Linked DNA regions of Styela clava. The protein of the gene in region 1 binds, or shares a complex with, the protein of each later gene. Links are inferred from orthologs where the notes say so. Each region holds a gene or a part of one and is shown on either strand. Other genes may lie near its edges. The genes, in order: B-cell receptor-associated protein 31-like and mitochondrial fission 1 protein-like.

Region 1 (12,212 bases):
AATGCTTGTGAATTCAAAATTTTGAATTTGATATATATATATACACACATTATCAGTCAGTGTGTCACTCGAATTTTATTTTTTTTTTCAGAGAATCCAAATGAAGGAACACCAGATGATCATATTTTACCTGATAAAGAGGTTATAAATTTATATTTATAATGTGTACCAGCATATGATTTTTATTTTTGTGGACACATATGTTGCACTAACTCTTTACCCATCTTTTATCATATATATGTATATTGTATATGTATCAAAACAATTACATGGAAATTTTTTTCGTTGCACAACACAGTGGTTCATATTGTCCAGAATCTATTCAAATACTAAATATCGCTCAAGCTTGTAATGATTTTGCAATGCTGCCTGGACCTAAGCGAATGGTGTTAAAAAATTTATTTTCTGGTTTCGCCAGCCTTGTCTGCCAGTTCTTTGTCTTCTTGATTGTTACAATAATTCTGGCCATACCATATTTTTATTTCCACTCTTATTTGACGGATTTGCTTCATGTAAATATAAAAGATCATATATCTTCTTTTGTAGATTGTTACTTCAACAATAGAAAATTCAGATAATGAGATTGAAGGACCCTTAGAATTGAGCAGAATCTTTAATGGTACGAAGACTTTGTATTCTATAATAATATATATTTGACTCTTCTGTATTCAGATCAGTCTGATCTCTAGTGCAAATTTTACCCAATGAAAAATAAAAAAATTTGTGTTTTTTTCCCCCAGAAACGGATACATCACAAGTGCCCAGTCCACATAGCAATGGTTCAGCTTTCAAAAATCAACGCTTTCCGAATGACCATGCACCTAATGATATTATTACTGATGAGAAGCCTGTGGATACATCTTCAACATCAAATCTTCGCAGGCGTCAAAGTGTGGTATGTGTTTTACTGTTGCTTACACAATAGCTCTGTGGGCTGCATGGAATTAGGTGCTTCAGTGGATTGCAAACTTGCTTGTGCTCGTTACGGGCTTTTAGTTTTTTCTGTGTTTATTCTAGTAAAAATGATGGAACTACCCATAATCACAAGATTCATCCACAGTTGTACGGAAAATGCTTCAAACCTTACAATGAAATTTGTTCTTTCATATCTTTATGGTCATTTGTCCTAAACGTATTGACTAAAACTTCTCATGTGCCTATCTTTATCTTCTTATTTTCTTTAATATCATTCAGCAAAGATGTATAAAAGTGTCCAACCAAGCTATTTTGTGACATGTGTTTGGAACCAATAAAAACTGTCAACTTATGAATTTTGTCTTGTGCCTTGTGGTTGAACCTTTACATGTCTACCCACCTCATAAATATTTTATGTGAATTTATTCCATGATGACTTCCAAATTGGTTGGAACTAGTCAATTTCATCTTTGTCTATTGCTAGTATATCATTTACTTTTCAGCATCACCAAACTGTTCCAGTGGTCATTGAAAATGAACAAAATGCAGGTATTTGTTACGTAATATACATAAACTGGAAAATATAATTACAGTTGTGAATTCGCAAAAACTTACAATAAACTTTTCCCTAACTTAAAAGTCAATAATATATGATTTAATGGTTTAAAGCAGCGTTTCTCAAATTTTTTTTTGCCCTGAAACACCTAGTACTGCTTTTAGCTAGCCTTGCGGAACACCGAGAAATTAGAAGGTAAAATTTATTGGTTTTCAAAAAATTTAGCCCATGGTAAAGATTTCTGTAAACTTGACAGATAAGAAATTAGGCCGAGGGTTAACGATAATAAACGTTATCGGTGAGAGTTGAGAGACAAATTTATGACCCAGAGGCGACGAAGTACTGCCGAAATCGCCATGATGACCAATTTGGTCACGATTTCGGTCCCAGTCCAGCGGAACAGTTATGTTCTGGGAAACACTGGTTGAAGGTCATATCAAAATTTGAACTGGCTTCTCCAAAACTATTACTTTTATGCTTTAACCTATTTATATCAAGATACAAGCAAAGAGGCATCAGTTGGAGTAACATCACACAAGCTGATATCTCGTGAAAAGAAGTATGAAAATTATATGTTTGTTTTATTTTTAATATTTTAATTAAATCTACAGTAATTTTAAATGGTAATATTCATTTTTAGGAATGCAAAAAAGCGAAAACTACTCAACAAACTTCCATTCCCCAGATCACAGCTTGCTGGGATTGTACAACACTACTCCACTTTGAAGATTTCTAAGTATATATGTTTTATTCTTTCATGCAATTCTTTATAGGACACAAAATGGCCATATGGGTCTTTTTGCTGAAGCGTTGTTGTTAGGGTGACTTTTTTGGAGCGAAAAAATTGCTTTTCTTGAACTAATGGACCAATTGATATCAGAGTTCTATGATATCCAATATTTCTCTGTTTCATTTTAATTCATATTAACACTATTTTTCATGGCTGTACTCCTTTTTAAATTTGCCAATTTTGTGATCAGCCATATTTCTGCATGAGTTGCATAGGTTACTGCTACTGGAGTTTGCTATTGGATGTTCATGTCCAATTTTCTAAATAAATATGTTTCTGGCGTCAAATTACTTGTAAACTTACATTTGATGACTAAGATAACAATTTAAAGTTAAAGAAACTTTTTTGAGTTCTTTCAATAAGGCTGTCGAACGTGTTTGAGGCATCTACTTAATTTTACTTCAGGGAAGCATTTGAGGAAATAGAAGATGTTTCTCGGCAATATTTTGAGAATACTATGAATGACTTGGAAGAAATCTGTCATAGGAAAAATAAGAAAATAATTTCATCTGAAGATGTTGTAAGACTTATGAAAAGGTCTGTTCCTGAAATAATAATTATTTTCGAAGCATTTTCTGCAAAGTCTCTAGAATACAAGTTTCCGAGATGAAACTGGCGTTTGTTGAATCTAGTGAAATTAAAACATTTCTTCTTTTAAACATATGAACAAAAAATTCCTAAAATCAGGTTCATACTTCGGAATAAATCCTCTGAATTTCATCATATATTCTATAAATGATGCATGCTTCTTTGAACTTTTGGAACTGTTGTTTCGCTTACACAGTAGTCATAATGAATGCGTTCATTTTTAGGCGACAACACTTGACAAAAAAGAAGACATTAAATGCTCTAATAGAGGAAAATCTCTCACTTGAATATAGAGAAGAACTTATTCAAGTAGCATATGCAGGAAATAATATCTTGCCTTGATCGAATGAATAGTGCATGTAGTCATAATATCTTGAGGCCTAATAAGATTCGAGTTCTGTTATTAGAATGTGATTGCCGATTTTCTGACAGATTCATTGCACACCAATCATGAGTGGGTATGATCTGCTGACAAGGGAGAGTATGAAAGGTATGCTGACAACTGTTGAGCATCAACCAGTATTGAATTAAAATAAATTCAACATGTCACTTGGGGTACAATTCATTATTATAAAGCTTGTTTATGTGGTTTTTGTTTTAGTTCATTAAAATTTCGAATATTTCTGAGAATTTGTGTTCTTTTCCAGAAGAAGGGGTTGTACTGCATTCTGAATTAGTTATTCTTTTACGTCAATTTATGTAAGTTCGCGCAAATACCTTCCTATTCTTAATGTTGCGGGTAGCGCTGCATCTGTGACACGCCTCGTAGTTCGGGACTGTTTTACGTAAAAATAGAGCCAAGGACGAACTTTAATCTTTTCCAACCAGTAAAAATCGATCTCGAAGTTGCCGCTACCGGAAAAGCATTGAGCAGTTTCACATTTCTAGAAGTGTTTATGCCACTTGGTTTGGAAACTTTTTTCGATAAAATTTTGTACGTTATAAACGTTTCCCAAATTTTGTTGGAGTATTTCACGTCACTTCTTTTAGCTGTCGGCGTGTAAAAAGTTGTTTACACTTTGCACCCGTTCGGTACAGATCCATGCTGGTTTGTTTTCTTATGGTGCTCACAGTGCGCAGTTTTATTATGGTTATGCCACAAACGCGGTGCGTATAAGGATATAGGTAGGTATGTACCTATTTGTCTTGTGATGTTTTGTCATCATTTCAAATAATTCGCTTGACATCAATTAAATTGACATCAAAGAATATGTATATGATGGCCAGCAAATTATTCACATGACCCGCCGAACAAATCAACGTGTCCTTCGTTGGGTATGGGTATATGATAGTATTATAAAACCGTATCTTTGGAAAGCAGCTTCTAAACTGGGCCAGGCGATATTGCTTTATCAAAAGCCGGTTGTTGTTTCTCGCAGTTCGTGATAATTTCTTTATTTACCTGTGAACAAGCAAGAGGCTGAAACAAAGTGTAGCTGAAGGAAAATGTTAATATCGCAATCAGAAAAAATTTGTGTTGAGTTGTGCGTTTTATTTTGATTTCCCCGAAAAAAGCACACACAGAACAAAACAGTGAACTGGGAGAGCCGGCAAGACCTCTATGGTTCCAAAATATATATGTTCCAGTGTACAGGTGTACACTGCAGACATGGTGGATTCCAATTTAAAATTGTATACATCAAATTGAATATGATTGGGCTGTGTTTATCGTCTGGGATTTGTTTACACCACCCACATCCTGACATTTCTGCATTTAAAGGAAACCAATAACTTGATTGAGATGAACAAGTGCAAATTAGTGCTGTAGTGTCTCACAGTCTTAGGTGAAGAAAACAGTGTCAGAAATCGGGAAATAGTAATAAATTATTAAGGTCATTGAACAGTTTGGTTTGAATAAAAGCCCACCTGAGTGCTGTGGCAAAAGAGAGGTGCAATGTCTGAATGTAGTTCCATATAAAATGCTTGGCCATTTCTTTCTCCCTAGTTCTTGTGTGCTTATGTAAAATTGGACTTTCGAGTCCTTATTCCTTTATTATCGTGTTTTTTCGTTTGCCGAATCAAAAATTCTGTCTCTCCGAAGTATACCCAACTTTGAATTACACAGTAGAAAACCATCAATCTGACAGTTTTCCTAATAAATAATACTCTACATTATTTGTATGGCATAGTGCAATTGTAGTATATATCATCACAATATCATAAGATTATTTTGTATTGCATGGAATTAAAATTATATGCGTTTAAATTACATTTACTTATCGGTATATTCCTGTTCCAGTACTGCTTTATTAAAGTATTGACAACTTCTATAAAATTTATAGAAAATAAACAGGTTTAATACTGAAACAAATGAAAAATTGTTTTTATTCTAGCAAATACCATTACGGTAAGTATATAGTTTGATGTAGAACGATTCGTACATCTTTTTGGACTATGGATACAAAGCTGCCACGAAAAAAGTATTATCGTCAGAGAGCTCACTCCAATCCACTTGGGGACCATAATTTTCAATACCCGGTTAGACCGCAAGACATGGATTGGTCGAGTATTTACCCAGAGTATTGCAATGAAGCCAATGAAAATAACAAGTATAAGGTTGAAGTGGTAGATATTGGATGTGGATACGGTGGGCTGCTGATCAAACTATCCCCTTTATTACCAAATACTTTAATGCTTGGAATGGAAATACGTGTTAAAGTTTCAGATTATGTCCAAGACAGAATAAAAGCTCTTCGAAAAACATCGATCGATAAAGGATCTAAAGATTTCCAAAACATAGCATGTATTCGTACCAATGCGATGAAACATTTGCCAAATTTTTTTTCAAAGGGTCAAATTCGAAAAATGTTTTTTCTTTTTCCTGACCCACATTTCAAGAAACAAAAGCATAAATGGAGAATAATTAGTCCTACATTGTTAGCAGAATATGCCTATGTTCTCGATGTTGGAGGTAAAGTTTACACAATAACTGATGTTGAAGAGGTTCACGATTGGATGGTTCAACACTTCACCCAACATCCACTGTTTGAAAGAGTTGGCGAAGAAAAATTGCAAAATGATGAATGTTACAAGGCAACTTTCAACTCGACAGAAGAAGGACAAAAAGTTGAAAGAAATTCAGGAGATAAATTCCCAGCAGTTTTTGTCAGAATTTCTAACAAGAGCTGATCTTGTTGTTACTACATCATTTGTGCTGCCAATTTTTTTTATTCCATTACTGTTTTTAATCAAATTCCATTTTTGAATAGTCGTGTGTAACGATTTGTAGGCACAAATTCAAGGTTAGAAATCGAAGATATTTTGGGATTTGCTTAAAGAAAATCTCTAGGTTTCCCCTCAGTTTCAAGTTGTCCTCTATTTGGCATGGCAACTTTTTGTCCATCCATTCTGATATACTAGGGAATAGTAAATTTTTCAATTTTTCGCAATGTGAGGGCTATAATTTGCATGTAAAACACGTTTCTTAACATCATTTTATGGTGGTGTACATTTTGGGAAAAGTAGCAATCCAATTACAAGGATCAAGATGTAGTTCCATGAACAATTAATGATATCCATTAATAGGATTTAAGTTGACTTGCTTACTAACTGTACAGCATGTTTTAATTAACAAAGTGACAGTACAGAATGGGAATAAATACATGCCAAATAAGCATGTTCCATCTACCATATCATTCTTCCATACTCAGCATTTGATTTAGTTGTGTGGTATAAGAATTGCTTTGTTTGCAATTTAAGGATCAACCTACATTAACAAAGGATTTTTATTTAGATTGATAAAGCATTTCAAACATTCCAACCATTGTGCCTTTTCCTGAAATTGAGTGGTGGTATGGGTATAATACCAATATATTTCACCACGTGTTACATGCTTTAAGATTACTTCACTCAAATTTTTGTTTCTATTATCCAATTCGCTTATTTTCCAGGAAGTAACTGTATAACTCATAGATAGTTTTAGATATATATTTATAAAATTGTTTATTCACCAATATGACGTTTCAATGGTTAGTTGTGTCGTTTTTCTTATACTCTGAAATAGGATTGTGTGTGTTATTATGTCTACCATTTATTCAACCAAAGAGGTAAGATTTCTTATGATTCATTTTTACAGTATCATTTCTAGTTCTAGACAGTTGTATGCATTGAGCTTGGGACTTGCGGTATCTAGATTCGCGACTTAATCTTAATCCTATATTTCGTATCTGCAAACTATATTTTGTCAATCACTTTTTAATGGCAATTATTTGCAATGGATTGAGCATATTTAATAACAACTGTATTGCTGCAGTGGACCTAGCCATTTTAAGATTTTGAGAAAAACCTAACCCAAAAAATCAAAAAAGTCTATGAGGTTTTAAAATCTAACCCCAAAATAAGGCACCACCTGAAAACAAGACTAAAACCGGACCCAATGATGACTCCTCCCACCTGGTTCATATCGATATAAATTTAAAAACGTCCATTTCTGAAGTATGTGACATAAGCTTCTTTGGTTTTACTGCATGTTACAATGCCATTAGTCCAAATGATTATCATTATAGGAGTGATTTCTTTATAGTCATTCTGTTATTCAAAATGGGTATGTAAAAAACCACAAATCACGACACTTGAGTATTTTTAATTGAACAGTCAATTTCTTGGCCCAGTAAACTTTCATTGATTCAAATGATTAGGATGTATGTCAATGTCAGTTGTCAAGACTGTCTGTGTAATATGCTGATCAAATGTTACGTTTTGCAAACATGGAATATGTTTTACTCATATTTTGAATATTTACACTAGCTTGTAAATTAAAATGGACACTTAATTCTGTTACACTGAATTGATAATGTCAACCATTTTATTTTAATGCTCCACTTTTATCATTTTGCTATATTTTTGCAGATGGCAGTATGTTTTCAAATCTCGTCTGCTAGCATTTTTTGTGACATATGGTAACCTGTATTTTGGAGTGTTCATTGCGGTATTGGTGTTACTTTTTGCAGGTATGGTTAATAATGATCTGTTATTGTAATATTGAACATACTGATATCAATATATCTAGATATTCATTACATCTATATAACAACAAAAGTTGCTTGGGTATATCTATAAACTGTATATTTTGAAGCTATTTTTTAATATTCAGTTCAATCAAAAATCTCGAAATAATGGCACTATATCAAGGAAAATGCAAGATATTCACAACTTATTAAAAGATTGATTCTCTTAAAAACAATCTATTTCAATGTGATCAAAAAAAATGACCTCTAACAAAAATAAGCAAGTTATTTTGCTCAAATTAACAATTCCTAGAAAAAAAACCATTGGTTGACAAGTGGACCTAGTTTTGTAATATCAGATGTATATATTCTGTAATATATTGGTTCAAATCAATGCAACTTTGATTGATACTTTTGTAACCTACAAAACGTTGAATAATTTTGTAGATGCTATACGTGAAGTGCGAAAGTACTCTATTCCAAATGCTCAACAAGTGGATCTCAAAAATAATCCTAATGCACAGGATCATGTGTTGATGATGCTATTCAGAGCTCAGAGAAATTTGTACATCACTGGTTTTGCTTTGTTCATGCTGGTGTAAGTAACCTATTCCTATTTGGTATGTTTTTGACAATTTACAAGGTACTGTGACCGTCCATAAAAAAATTTATGATATTATTTCGACAAAGTAAAATGCATTGATTTTCTATGTTTATGTTAGAGAAATTTCATAATTTATGTACTTGATAATTCAACTTCATGATCCCTAGATCGCTATGGCGACCAATTTAGATTTCTTTTTCCATGGAACACTGGGAAGACGCTCGCGAAACACAGTTTGGGAAAGCCGCGCTAGGCTATCACACCATCTAAGCTCACCCAAATGAGTGTAACCTAAAACTCACTGACTACCTAATTCACTAAGTTGAATCTAGTTGTTATATTTCACTTATATTCTTTCAAGGGTTCTTCGTCGTCTCACTACATTAATTTCTGACTCTGCTACACTTATAGCAAGTAACGAAGCAATTAAAAAGCAAGCTGAAAGCGCAAGCAAAGCTGCAGAGGTAAACACTTTAGATATCAATATATTTGCGTCCACAAGGTAAAGAGAATGTTTAAATTTGTATGCGTTATTTGTTTACAGGCGTTGCTGAAATCCAAGGAAAACAAAGATGGCAGTGATGTTGATGCGGTAGATGTAGAAGAGCTAAAGAAGGAACTTGATGAAGTGAAAGAAAAATTATCTGATGCTAGAAAAGGTTTGATTTTACTAAATTGCACAATCTCAATAATTAAAGTCAATACTTTTCAATAATTGTAAAAAAAAATTTGGGGTGTCATTACAAAATTGTGACAATTCGCTCACCCATTACCTAGTCCAGGGCGGTGCAATGTTGTCGGCTCCAGTGGCCACAAAATTAATTTGGCATTGTTCGTGGACCACAATAGTGCCAAGAATAGGTAAACAGTGCAACACAGAATAAACACTTTTATTGTGAAAACACATTGATAAGTATGTTATTTATCAAGATCAAAAACCACAGAGTTGTTTGGCCATAACATTAATAATTAGTTATCAGGCATAGCCAACATAAGCCGATAGAATCCACATTCGATTTTTAGTTTTCTATGATGCCAAAATTGTTAGCATATATTTTCGACCAAAAAGATAAAAAGCCAGATAAGAATTTGGGCTGCCAAGCACATCATTCAACTTGCCGCAGTTAGCCATACCACTAGTCAATTCAGTGACATTAGTGATGTAACAATAATATGTCAAAAGATTTTTCTCGTTAATTTTATGACGAAACAACACCAAATGCGATTTTTTAATTACTCATCGAATTCGACGCGGGCCAGAGATAATGAAGGTGTGGGCCTAGGTTTGGACCACCCTGACCTAGTCGATGCAGCATCTTTTCAAAAGATTGCGTTGTTCTCAATCTATTTTTCTCTTATCTTACCATGTTAATAGTTCCTTTTGCCACTGATAAAAAGTGTGTTGATGTTTATTAACCTACATATACCATAATAATTTTCTGGTACTTTTGTATTTAGCTGAAACGAAAGCACAGAATGACTTGAATGCAATGAAACAACAAGCTGAAGGTGTTACGAGAGAGTATGACAATCTAATGGAGAAGTTCACTGAACTGCAGAATCAAGTTGAAGGCAGTGGAGATAAAAAAGATGAATGAAGTGATTTGCAAGCTTACCAATGCATGATTTTGCGGTACTTTCTGATTCAATATTGCTTGCTCTGATGCAATCAGAAAACTTACTTAAGAATTAAGGACATTTTAGTATATAATAAATTGTATATCATACTGTGGAGAAAAAAATATGAGACTCTTATATGGGTATCTACTGAAAAAAAAAAAGGATATAAATTGGTGTGAATCCCAACATATTATCTACAAAAGTTTTTCAGAATGTTTCATTGGTCATCCATGGACATTCGCTATTATATCATTCTAACCAAATATTCATATGGAGAAGTTTTCACTTTACAGTCTGCATATGAGCTGTAGTGCACTTCATTATAATATCTTGCTCATATATTGCTGTTATAAATAGCTATTTGCTGATGTTGTGCTTTTGAGTAACTTGCATGCATGTGTATTATGTTCATAATATCTTCTGATTTTACGTGAATGAGCTAATGTTTATAATAGCCTGAAACTGATATATATCATTGTCTGTGGGATTTAATGTAGTATCTATATTGTTCATTGATGTACATAAGCTGAATAAAAGAACTGCCTTCACTATATTATATGAAGTAAATTTGCGACATTTTTTGTGGTGCTGAATCGTTTGTTAGTATTTAAATTTACGTTGAGGGGAATGGGATCCTGTGGGGCTAATTGTGTGCAAGAGGATTGCTGGACCCCTCGCCAGCCGTTGTCAAGTCATCTGAAACGAATAACTGGCGAACAAACCCCATAGCAACATGTACTAGAGGAGAGAAATACCCCATATGCTTTCCCCCCGGATAAATATGTAAATCCAATTCGAGTAAAAATTCTGAAATGGTTCATGGTCATTGCAGAAACGAGCACTAACTATGTAATATGGTTTGGAAGAATCTTCCAGTTTCGGTGCAGCCGACCCAATTAATTACGCTGCGGAGATGGGTTTGGACCAGCAGTGTCATCATGGATGGTTATACCTAATAATTTGATAATCACTAGGTTGCTATTCGAAACAAATATTGACTTCATAGTAACAGAAGTTGAATAACAAATGCTCAACATTTAATACCTTACACTACAATAACCCCGAAAATCAAGATCTAACCATAGCTACATCGGATATAACCAATTATTCCAACCACATAACTCCTGCAGGACAAGGGACATATTACTGATAAAGTTATATAATCACACAATTGGAATATTTTTTGGTAATATTGTATGCTACTTAACAACTGCATTGTAATACCTACGCAAGCCGCATAGGCACACCAAATATGGAGTATTGAAGTTTTATTATATATTTTTTGACAGAAATATGAAAAAAAAGAGTAGAGTATGGTCAATGGCATCAGAAGTTATTTACCGCATGTTTCATTAACACTATCATAAAGAAGTGAAGCTATGTGCCAGACAAGCAAAGACAAAAATTAATAAAATAAATGATGAACAACAAAAGTATTTGATTAACTTACAAATACAAAATTGCAGCAATTTTAAGACAGATAAACCATCTGGAGATTCTGCAAACTTTTTAAAAACAGATCTCAAACACAAAATATAGATGTAGTTGAATTGGTACGTAATAATGAATACAAACGAATGTTGAAGTTATAAATGGTTGGAGGTGATTCTTTTAAGCAATGGAATATATTTAAATACTGATCGAAGAGTTGGAATATATAGACTATTAATAGTACTGGACTGGAATTTAACAGCAAAAAAGATAACCAAGCTAGAAAAAAATAATTCATCATGTTACATTGATGATTATCAGCACAACAACACTCCATATTTTAAGACTGCCTTATACCATCTGCATTGTTGTCAATAATGAAGAAAACCAATTTTTGTTAGTTATTTTTAACAAGGCACTGGGCAAGCAGAATCTTGATTGGGGAGACATTAATTTTAGAAGCATCAACCTTAATGCCTGGATAATCAAGTTCCATCACACTCTAATTTGTAGTTCTCTGATACGCCTTGTTATTATGCATTTGGTGAATTACATGGTAGGTTTAGTAGATAAATACAACACTAGTTTGATTGTAATAATGCCAACGAAATATAGATGTTCTAGAACAGGGGTCGGCAACCTACGGCCCGCGGAGCAATATAATCCGGCCCGCAACGCTTCACTGAATTATAGTAACAAAACAGCTGTTTAGGCGACCATATTCTTTACGTAACAGAATTTATTTTGAGATAGTGTAGACTA
Region 2 (11,183 bases), on another chromosome or scaffold:
CTGTGTCTAGATTGCTTTGTTCCTGACTTTAAGCTTTATTGATGCACAAAATAATGGGAAAATTATGTTTATTTAAGGCTATGAATAGTAAGACATATCACTTAGATTTTTAATTGTCTTCAGTGTTAACTGAATGTAAATAATAGATTCAAAAACTTATCTGTTTGTGTTATAAATTTTTAAATGAAACACCATTTTTAAAAACAATACATTTTTATTATCAATTCTTATAAAGCAATTACAATCATAAAATTTTTTTAATTTGGCTTTACGACAACCACTATGATAATTGAAAAATCTATATTAGTAAGTCAAAATAAAATATGTGGAAAGTTTAGGAATAGTCTAGGATGGATTACATTTCTTTCCACTCATGTCGGATTAACTAAGCTTTAATTTATCGTAAACAAAACATAGATATGCTGACATTTTCGGATTAATGGAAAAATAGCGCAACAAAACAACAACAAATTCATTAGTATCATGATCTGAGTTTAAAATTGACGTAAAAACGAGAAAAGTCAAAATACCCAAAAAATTCCACATAACAAATAATACGTACGTCAAAGGTAGTCGCAGTTTGGAAACTGAAGTTTCTGTGACGTTAATAAATGTCAGGACAGTATAAGGCATTCGTCTTATAGGCTTACTGACAGGGACTAAACAGATTAATGGGGAAAATAATTTGAATGTTTAAATCAAGAATGAAAATGCAATGACCAGTTACCATTAAAAGGGTTCAGGAGTATTGCTTCACACAGATACAAATATATTCCTGTAACATTTTTCATCTGACAAAGGTCGGACTTGTTCTGGCATACATAATTCAAAGTTGAAACATAACAGAAATGTATTTGTTTTAGCATGCAGTGCTACGACTTCCTTGCATTACATGCATAAGGATCAACCAAAAGCATAGAGGTATAAAACGTTCACCCCATAGAAACCCAATTGATAGGAAAATTTCCATTACCTTATAAAATTTTGCTGAATTACTTGAGGCAGATTTTCCATTGTTATCTTCGTATCGTGTCTCAATAAATACAGTTAGTCTTGGGAGAAAATGGCACTAAAATAGCAAAAGTGGATAGCGATCAGTTTACATAACCATTATTACATACCTAAATATAATTTTTACTCTATACTCTATAATATAAACATACTTGACGACTTAACTGTCGTCAAGTATGTAAGATTGTTTTTATACATGTAATTAGGCCACAATGAGATAATTGAAATTTACCCAGGTATGACACATTGAATTAAAGTTGAAGCAACTGAATTTATATACCCTATAAAAATTTATAAATATGATAGATGATTATTAATTTCGACCCTAATTAGATATTTTGACCCTAATTAGACTTTTTCACCCTATTGACCTATTTGATTATAGAAAGTGGATAATAACATAATATAGAATAAAATTACATGTTTTTGAAAAAGCTTGATAATTTATGCTTGAAATTGTTTTCATAATACAAATTTGTAAGTTGTGAATTTTTTTTAGTTGATGGTGATAAATAACATTTTTATGTTGAAGGTCAATGCTTATGTAACATGAAACACAGATCATTAAATAATATATTTCTGCCAAAGAATTGAATTTGAGCCAACCACACTCTCTAAATGTAAATTCAGCAGACCGAAAAAAGTGTAACTAATCATAAATGATCCGTGACGAATGTCTTGATATTTGAAAATCAAAATCTTTCATCATTTCCAATTTCATCTAATAAAATATATCAGTATTAGCAGAACCACATATAATAAATCTTAGTTTTACCTTTACGCTTTATGAGCAGTCATATAAAAATTGAAAATGTAGTTTCAAGGCAATAAATTTTTTTTAAATATATAAAATGTTACTTACTGAATATTCTGTTTTCATCAGCATGGTCATGAAAAGGAAAAACAAAATTTCAATAACATTTAATATTAATAAATTTATTAACAAGGAGAAATGTTGAAAAAATATCAACAGCTTTAAATTTCAAAATGATTGAGGAAACTAAAAAACATAAAACATGCAAGCAGACAAATTTGTTATAGACTATGTATGATTAATGGCTATTTTATATATAGCCTACTATGAAGTAAAATTGGCATATTTCATAAAAGCATTTATCTGTACAAATGAACCTCATTTAATTCTCAAAGGAATTATTGGTGGTGGTAATCTCATTACTTCAATGTCTATCAGCTCTATTATTATTGGCTTTTAACAGGTATGGTGCGAATATATAATTCCCATCGGAATTGTTAACATCAGTCATCCAATCGCTTCCAGCACTAATGCTTGCTAATTTTAGAAAAAAAATTTGTCCGTTGGAATGCTGAGTAGTTCATGGAAATGAGTTTCAGGCATTGTCATTTTATTCTGAGATTTCAAATTATTTTTCAAGCATGAAAAACAGATGTTACATTTCCTGGAACAGCATCTCCTACTGTGATTTAGGTAGCCTAATTGCAAGCTAGTTTATTACATTTCACACCGATTTTATTCAATTTGTTATGAAAACATGCCAATGTATATATAACTCCTAACTATTGAGTTTACTGAAAGGGCTATGCTGGTGAAAACAACAAACACAAATGCTAGGATTATTTAAGTGTGTACGCGCAAACATTTTTCCTTAACAGTAAATAAGTACAAAGTTTAAATTTAATAGACAAACAAACAGTATATACTTTCACTTTAGTTATTTTTGACATCAGATTAATTATTAAATGGTTGATGCTGTTGCAGCACTTGAATATATGCTAGTTCACAAGATTTTTTCAATCGAGGTCATATAATTCCGCAATTTCAAGTTCGTTTGGGTGACAAGATGAGGTTCTCTTATAAAATAGATAATATAAATTTATAAACCTAATTCAAGTATTATATTAGTTTGATTGAAATAAATTGACGATCAAAATACATGATACTGGAAAGAATTTGCATACCTGTGACAGTGTAGGGATAATAATTCCATGCTTTTTCTGTGACATATATTGAGGGCGTGACAGCTCGCGCCCAGGAAGGAAGGCGTCTAAAATTATAATAATATTTTTAGAATTGATCGCGGCTGTGCTTATAAAAAATTAAGTGCACATCATTCTTGGAATAAGTAGTGTAATGTCTAGTTCGAAATCCCAGGATTTTGTCAATAGTGATTATTGATGTTAATATGCAAATAAGGAGGTCTTCTGATACTTTATTAAAGGTATTCCCGAAGTATGTAAACCGATGGAGGACACCGGAACGTAGTATGTTAGGATTAGGTCATAATTTTAATCAAATTTTCCTTATTTTAGTTCTATTACGACTTACGAGTTCGGGGACTAGCCAAGCGACTCCCAAAGGAATTTGTACCTGAAATTATACCCTAACCCTAACCTGGTACAAACTTCAAAAGATAAAAGATAAAATAATTTAATTCATATTTTGCGATCATACAAAAATTACAACACACAGGACAGAAATTCAACTGAGGTTTATAACATGAGACATAAAAACAAAGAGTTTCATAAAAAACAATAATTCGAGTATCAGGATCATGATACATGTAATAGATTGCAATAATCTTGAATTTGAACTAAAAATCTTGTGACATTTGATTTCAATGCAATAACTACAGACTAATCCAAATTGTTTTTGACCTCTTGGGGGATTTAATGATTGAGTGAGGATTTTACATTTGAGCAGAAAATTTACAACAAGTGATAGATAGCATTCGATAGATTATGCATTTTCTTGATCGTTGGAAATTAAATTAGAGAGCTGAGAGCTCTGAAGTATTTTTGTTCCACAAAAGAAAACTTTCAAAAAGTCATGCCAAAAATAGTTCTGCACAGTCATTGTCATTCGAGCACATACATAGAAGAGACATAGCTAAAATGGATCGATCCAGAAGATTGATTCAAGAAAAAATACGATAAAAACGAGTTTTTTATTGCTTTATTTTTAATTTCAAATAAAAAAATTTGGAAGAATAAAACAGGAAATAGTAATGAAATATCTATTGCATAAGCAAAGTTACGAAAATAGCAAACGTTTCAATATCGTTGCTTTCCACAAATGGATTGGTCAGGCATACATTGTAACATTCTATGCATTAAAATATCATTAATTATTTAGTAATTTTCGATACAGACTGCCAAAGCTAATATACCTAATACAGAATTAATGGAAACTATTGATGTGGATTACTTAGTCAACAACATTTGGCAACTCACAAGGCCTAGATTTACCGCAATGATAGGCCGAAATTACTACATATTTTGACATTTTGAAACTTTAGACAAAAATTTACTTATAAAATAGTTTTTATTTAAAATGTTTATTTATGATCATTTTTGAAATTTGGCACAAGTATACCATAGTTTTGTTTCAAAACAAATCTGGTTTATTCCATTTAAAAAAAATGAAATAAAATTAATGCAGATTAAGGATTTCCCTAATTAAAACTCAGCAAAAAAGAAAGAAAACAATAGCAAAATGCTATAAATTCAACTGAAAACTAAGCCTTAATTAGGCATAATTGCATTATAGAATACAAATCTGCCTTGCAGCAATTAAAGAAACAAAAACTAAAAACCAAAGAACAGGCTTTTGTGCTTTTAATTATGCCACTTATTCAGCTAAATCCCTTTTATCAGACAGACAAAGAAGTGATCTCAATCTGTTCAATTTCCTATGGCTAAATTAAGCCTGAATACAAATTTAAATAATTGATTCAACTATTCTATACCTTAGCACATAGGTTCTCAAAGTGCTCCGTATGGAGCCCCAGGGCTCCGCGAGAGAAACCCAGGGGCTCCGCGAGCTATTCGATTACTTTTTAAAATACTGAATTGGCTAATTTTACTATTAGGATTACTAAAATGAAAGAATACTATTCTGAAATAACATAAAATACACGATAAACTGTCAACTATACATAAATTGCAGTCGTATTTTTGCCATCTTGAGATTTGTCAAGTTTGATTTCGTTCTTTTGCACTCACGAGCAAGATATCGCCGTTAAAAAAAACAAGAGGTCGGTGCAAAATACGAAAAATTGAAATTTATTTCATTGCATGCGACTCTGTCAGTAGTTTCATAATGGAAAAATAGGTACATCGCGCGCACAATTGACTGTGTTTCGGTTTCGCAGTTACTACCGCGAATAACCAAAGAAAACCCAACATGACACCAAATTTTTGATTTACAATGTCTATGAAAGCGTTTTTAATCTGACATGAGTCTGCTGAAACAAAACTTATAGTGTTATCTCCCATTTTAAGCTTTAGTTTTAATATTTTAGAATGCCGCTTTTCAATCGAGAAATTTGAGTTGCAGATTTACTTTTTTATTATTTATTATTTTTAGCATTTCGTGTCCGATGACTATAGTACGGTAACATGTTTTTCACATTGAACGCATAAGTCCCCACGAGAACAAAAAAACAATACTCGTCGTCATTGTGGAACAATATATGTATATGTCGAGGGAAATTTTTGATTTAGGGAGAATAAACACCGCCATGCTGACGAAAACAATCGGCGATCGTAACAAAATGCAATCGAGTACATTATTAGCGGCCTTTTAAGTCTATCAAAAATGTTTAAAGGGAAAAGATCCGACCCCTAATTTATTAATATGTTTGTCAAGTGTCAAATTTACAGCTTTAGTATATATAATTTACCTTTTACATTTAGATTTATTTATGACCTGTTTTAACCCTATTAAAAGAGGTTAAGCATTTAAAACAAGTACAGTACTTTTAACTTACTCAGGAATATTATTTGGAAAATAACAATTTTAACATATACTTTGGGGCTCCGTGAATATTAGTCAACTTTTTCAAGGGCTTCGCAACACAAAAAGGAGAACCCCTGCGTAGCACATTTGAAAAATGCTGAATACAAAGTAAAAATCAATGCTACATCACAAGTCAATGCAAATAAACTTTTTCCATTTACAAAAAACTGTTGGATGAATGGAAATAAACCTTTTTATTAAAAATCAGAATTACTACAGTAGTACAGTTAGTGGGTCTCGTGTAGTTTTTTACCTCAAGTTCTCCTAGTGGGCATAGTATAACCGCTGACTACGACATTTAAAAATTATGTCACAATCGTGTCATAGAAGTTGCCAAAGTATACCTACGATCGCCTGAAATGGCATTTGCGCCGACGATAAAGAATTCACTAATGGCAGTGATCTCTCACATATTGGGATCGTTGTGATGGCAAAACAGGTGATTGCTTACGCGTCTTTGATAACAGTTCGTATAGTATTAAGGGCCTTATTATGTCAATGTGATGTTGTAGTGACCTAACTTTTGGATGACGCGGTAAAGTGGGGTTAGAATGGACATATGCAAAAAATTGTTTTGCTACGCCCACTAGAAGTAATTGAGATACGAAACTAAACTAGACCCCAGTTTCCGCATGAAATTTACTTCTGCATATGCGAATTGAAATCAGGTTATCTCTTGAATAAACCAGTATGTTTCTAACATCCTTGCATCATGATTCTCTTACCTCATTTTATTAAATTTCAAACCCACACTATTTCCTACAACTTTTTTTTCTTTGTAAAGATACTTTAAAAGACATCAGGTATTTCTGTATTCAATGTTCAAAATTTAGTGCTAATATAGAAAATGAACTAAATTTCGAGTAGGGGTCTAATCTGATTTTCAAGTAGAAGGGGAAATATATGCTACAGGAGTGGTGACTCCTCTACGGCCCATGGGTCGGGGCCACGGCCCATCTAATTGGGCCACATGGGCCGTGGCCCATCAAGCTATGGGCCGCGGTCCCATCAGGAAAATTTCAATTATCTTACCAAAATTTTCAATTTTTACAAAACTGTCAATATTCGAACAAAAAAATATACTCCTGTAGTATGTGTACCAGGTTAGGGTTAGGACAAAAAAAATTCAGATTTTTTACATTATAGTTCTAATATGAGTTCGGGGACTGTCTGTGTTAGCCAAGTGAATAGTCCTTTTACACAACTTGATGGGCCGCGGCCCATAGCCTGATGGGCCGTGGCCCCGGCCCATGGGCCGCAGAGGAGTCACCACTTCCACTCAATATATGATGATACATAATGCATTGAAAAAATTTATGAAAAAAAATTCTTACGAATTTAAATGAATCCTCTTTTCAGTATATTTTCCATGTCCATAAACCTCGTCATAGTGTGGCTCATTGCAAACTACTTCTACTCCTTCACCAGCTTCACTTTGTTCATCACTATGCCGATTTATCATATATTGTTGACCACGTTGGTACTGCAGATAATGAAAAAGATCAAAACATTTTGGAACTGATGTCTGACAGTACGGCACACTATTTTCCCTCCATTTGGTTCAATGAAACAAACACTCCATGTGTCTCACAAACGAGGAGTGTCCGACATGACGGCAGATGAGTCATATCGCGCCATGCTTGTCTCAATAATAATCTAAAGTAGGCTAGTAATCGTAAAAGTAAAAATTTCCCTTGGTAAATCGGATTATTTTTTCCCGAGGAATTCAATGATGACGTTTTTAGATCGCGCTTCTTTGTAGTATTTTGCGCAACTTCATTATACTGTATTTTTACCTCCCAAAAAGAGGGGTGTCCGATCATAGGTAAAATGTGTTTCCCTGGAACGAGGCAATGTCGCTCGATCTGTATAGTGTGACGCACTGTCTGAATATTACATAAAAAATACAGTAATATGCTTTCAGCTTCATAATGAATAAATGAGTCAGTCAGCTAGCAGTTTATTTTTCACAAAAATGAACATAGTCTACACTTGATGCAAACAAAAACTAAGAAAAAACACAAAAAAGCCAATTGTTTGCTTTCTCACCTCTTCCGTGGTCAACGGCATGCATATTCGATACTCCTTCAATAACATGACCCCACATGTACCATACGTTCGTTATCGACAAATAAAACTATTGCTATACTGCTATAAGAAAGCTTCACCAATCTGTTGAAATAATCCGCTGCAATCGTCAGATCGTAGTTGTGCACTCGAATGAAAATCCGAGGTCAACATTCGCAAGTTTATCAATAACGAGAGAAGCTACAATAGCGTGAGAAAAAATATTAAAACGTGACGTTCAGACGAAAATAAATACGAGAGAATATAAACCCTCCGAACGAACTTACTACCTAGCGCCCCCTTCCGTTGTTGTTTATGACAGCCTTGAGTAATTTTTAATATCATTCATTGCTTCACAGCAAATTTATTAGGACGTTTTTAGTAGTGTAATATAATATTGTAGATTGAAGCGGATCAGTACTCACTTTTTTTTATCAAACCACTTACCTGTGTCCGCCTGATCCTTACTCGCAAATTGCATATAAAAATAATTTTTACACCAACAGTACCCAATTATGCAGTATCAGATGAGTATAAATTCTTTTTTGTTTCATTTTTGACACAGATCATGCTAGCTTTACAACAGTGTATTAAATTTAGTATACTCAGCTCATTGGTATACTACACGATAAGAGATTAAATGGCAATTACCAGACCGAAACAATTCGTTTTTTGCTCATGCCACAAAACCTGCAAATCAAATTGGCGCACATCAGCTAATACTGAGACTTGTTTTCTATGAATTCAAAGAGCTTGAATTGAACCGGATTTGCAACTAGTAAAAATACATTTTCCACAATGAACGAATTTCGATAAATAATGATATAATATGAATGTCATATTCATTCACACAAATATCAAGTAAATAGGTTTGGTGAAAATTTAAACAAAGCCAACCACAATGTACTTCCAGATAGGATCTGATAGTTGAATAATTGACAGATATAAACACTCAACCACTGGTCAGTTGTCGAGTCAAAATAATAAAACCAAATTTGCACAGAACCCAAGATCACCCACACGTGACATCACGTGAGGATCGGGGTTTCCCCAGACGATAGTTTGCCTGTGACTCTCGAGCCACGCACCGTTTCTCGTTTATTCATTTATTGGAGTTTGTCTAATTTTTAGTCAAAAGACTACTAACTTTCGATAGGGAGGTATGAAGAAATTAGGATAAATGAGTTCTGGAATCCGTGTGTCAAATCAGAAAGAAATTTTGGATAGATTTTATTGGCAGTTTTGTTGACACCAAAGCGATGAAAACAAGGTATACCTATTTGTATCTAATAATAAATATAGGGGAATTTTCGACAGGGAAGTAAAAATTATAACAAAAAAACAAAAAACCCACAATAGACATATCTGAATACTACGTAGTATTTTGATGTCATTATAGGTTGGCATGATATGGCGGTATTGTTACTTAGATTGGTAATTGAACTATGCTTCAAGTGTGCCGAAAATAAAATAAGGCTTGAATAGAAAAAATCTGATAGTAGTGTTTCATGTTGAAGTTATTCAATCATATTGGCTTCTTCTATAACCCAAAGTCATGAAACTGACCCTTTTTAAATATAGCTAAAAATCAGTTCAAATATGACCATATATTCAATTTTCATTTGAAACTTCAATAATAATGTTTCGGAGTCATTTAATAGGCCTACTTGTTGAATAATTCAATATTTTTCAAGATCTGCACTAAGTAGAAAATAATCGGTGGTTGTACCTAAGTATATATATAGTTATCAGTAGAGGTTGCGAGAGACTAACTTCCAATCCCTCCTTTATTTAAACCGCATGATTGTTCTTTTCTCGTCGTTGTTGTAAACTGCTTGTCTGAGGAAGTCAGATTCTGGTCAAAAGAAACGTTGCAGAAACACATTTGTGTTAGTGTACAGCAGGACTCTCGAATTGCATAGTATATATATAATGTTGTAAAACATTCTAACAAACCTGTATTTTGTGACCTATTACTCCTGTCTCTGTTTGACTGATGTTTTTTAAATTGTCTTGTTTATTTATTTGTTTTAGAACATACCGTAATAGATTTAAAACAAAGCTTCCAACAACCATGGAAGAGATAATTAATGAAGTTATCGCAACACAAGATATTATGAAATTTGAAAGAAAATACAAAAAAGAAGAAGCCATTGGAAAAGTAGAAGCAACAACTCAGTTTGAATACGCCTGGTGTCTTGTACGTAGTCAATATAAAAATGACTGGAAAAAGGGAGTTGTATTATTGGAAGAACTTTATCATACTGGAGATAATCACGCTAAAAGGGATTATATATTTTACATTTCTATTGCACATTACAAGCTAAAAAACTATGAGCAAGCTCTCAAGTTCTGTAAAGCCATATTACATGTTGAACCACAGAATCACCAAGCAAAACAACTTGAAGAATTGATAAAGAAAACAGAAAAGAAAGAAGCTATGGCTGGAATGGCTATTGTAGGTGGTGCGGGTCTTGTTGTTGGAGTGGGTGTAGCTGCTTTAGGTGTTTTGGCCGCTGCTCTTGCATCAAGGTCGAAATAATGTGTTTTGTGACTGTTAATGATTTAATTTCTTCAGATCTTATTATGACATACATTTGTAAGCTTATGAATTGTTGCTGTATCGCACTGTGGCCATTTAAATATACAATGACTAGGTATGGTCCACAAAAGTATGTATTTTTTGTTTCACTAACCAGAATCTTGCCTCACAAAATACAAATAGTGAGAAGCAATTAAAGTATTGTATGTTTAACCTAATCTATTGCAAACTATTATTCATCAAATCTATATGTACAGTTTTGTGTAAAAATTATGGAAATCCTGCTCGGCTGATTTTGTGTTTTTTTAATAGTTTCAACATCACAGATCAGTGGTAGAAGCCATGCAGGGCACTATTTGACCTATCAGGACTACAAAAATCACACAGTCTTGTTATCTGAACCTTATTATAACCAGGGCCAGTTTGAATCAAGTTTCAGCCACTAAAAATTCTACTCCATCTATTTTGGTATCAAGTTTGACCCCAGCTACCAAGCCTTACTCTTTGCCTCCAACAGCATACCCATACAATACAAACAACAAGTTAATAAAATTGTCTATTGTTTAATGGAAAATTAAGCGACGATCGCTTCACACTGACCATTATTATTATAATAACAATACAAAATTGGAATTAATTCAAACTAATGAAGGCCGTTTCGACATTCTTTATATAGTCAGAGAATTCGTCACTGGATGGAAATTCGCTCAATATCAAAGCACCAGGCATCAAATCATCAATCATATAACATAGTAGTATAGGCTTTTGTGAGCGTTTAACAGGAAT

What was found.
Region 2: the proteins of B-cell receptor-associated protein 31-like (region 1) and mitochondrial fission 1 protein-like are in contact, whole or in part, in a crystal structure (PDB 8XWX), measured with the Homo sapiens proteins. The link is inferred for Styela clava from reciprocal best matches to the Homo sapiens genes BCAP31 and FIS1. Residues at the interface, in NP_001132913.1 of Homo sapiens: Asp224, Leu227, Glu228, Ala231, Lys232, Ala235; in NP_057152.2 of Homo sapiens: Arg52, Val56, Glu59, Glu60, Pro63, Lys64, Lys89.

The regions. Positions count from the first base shown.
Region 1 is NC_135258.1:14,496,426-14,508,637, forward strand, and holds B-cell receptor-associated protein 31-like, read left to right. Parts: upstream 1-6,660; 5' UTR 6,661-6,803; coding exon 6,804-6,895; intron 6,896-7,697; coding exon 7,698-7,798; intron 7,799-8,242; coding exon 8,243-8,393; intron 8,394-8,760; coding exon 8,761-8,863; intron 8,864-8,943; coding exon 8,944-9,058; intron 9,059-9,857; coding exon 9,858-9,997; 3' UTR 9,998-10,593; downstream 10,594-12,212. Other genes in the region: uncharacterized protein LOC144427174, read left to right, coding at 92-141, 547-619, 741-895, 1,419-1,464, 1,970-2,030, 2,112-2,207, 2,667-2,798, 3,074-3,191; tRNA (guanine-N(7)-)-methyltransferase-like, read left to right, coding at 5,244-5,978. UniProt on the Homo sapiens protein: Functions as a chaperone protein. Is one of the most abundant endoplasmic reticulum (ER) proteins.
Region 2 is NC_135253.1:11,885,047-11,896,229, reverse strand, and holds mitochondrial fission 1 protein-like, read left to right. Parts: upstream 1-8,984; 5' UTR 8,985-9,114; coding exon 9,115-9,125; intron 9,126-9,889; coding exon 9,890-10,397; 3' UTR 10,398-10,683; downstream 10,684-11,183. Other genes in the region: cytoplasmic phosphatidylinositol transfer protein 1-like, read right to left, coding at 974-1,069, 1,874-1,881, 2,950-3,035, 7,123-7,271, 7,838-7,885. UniProt on the Homo sapiens protein: Involved in the fragmentation of the mitochondrial network and its perinuclear clustering. Plays a minor role in the recruitment and association of the fission mediator dynamin-related protein 1 (DNM1L) to the mitochondrial surface and mitochondrial fission.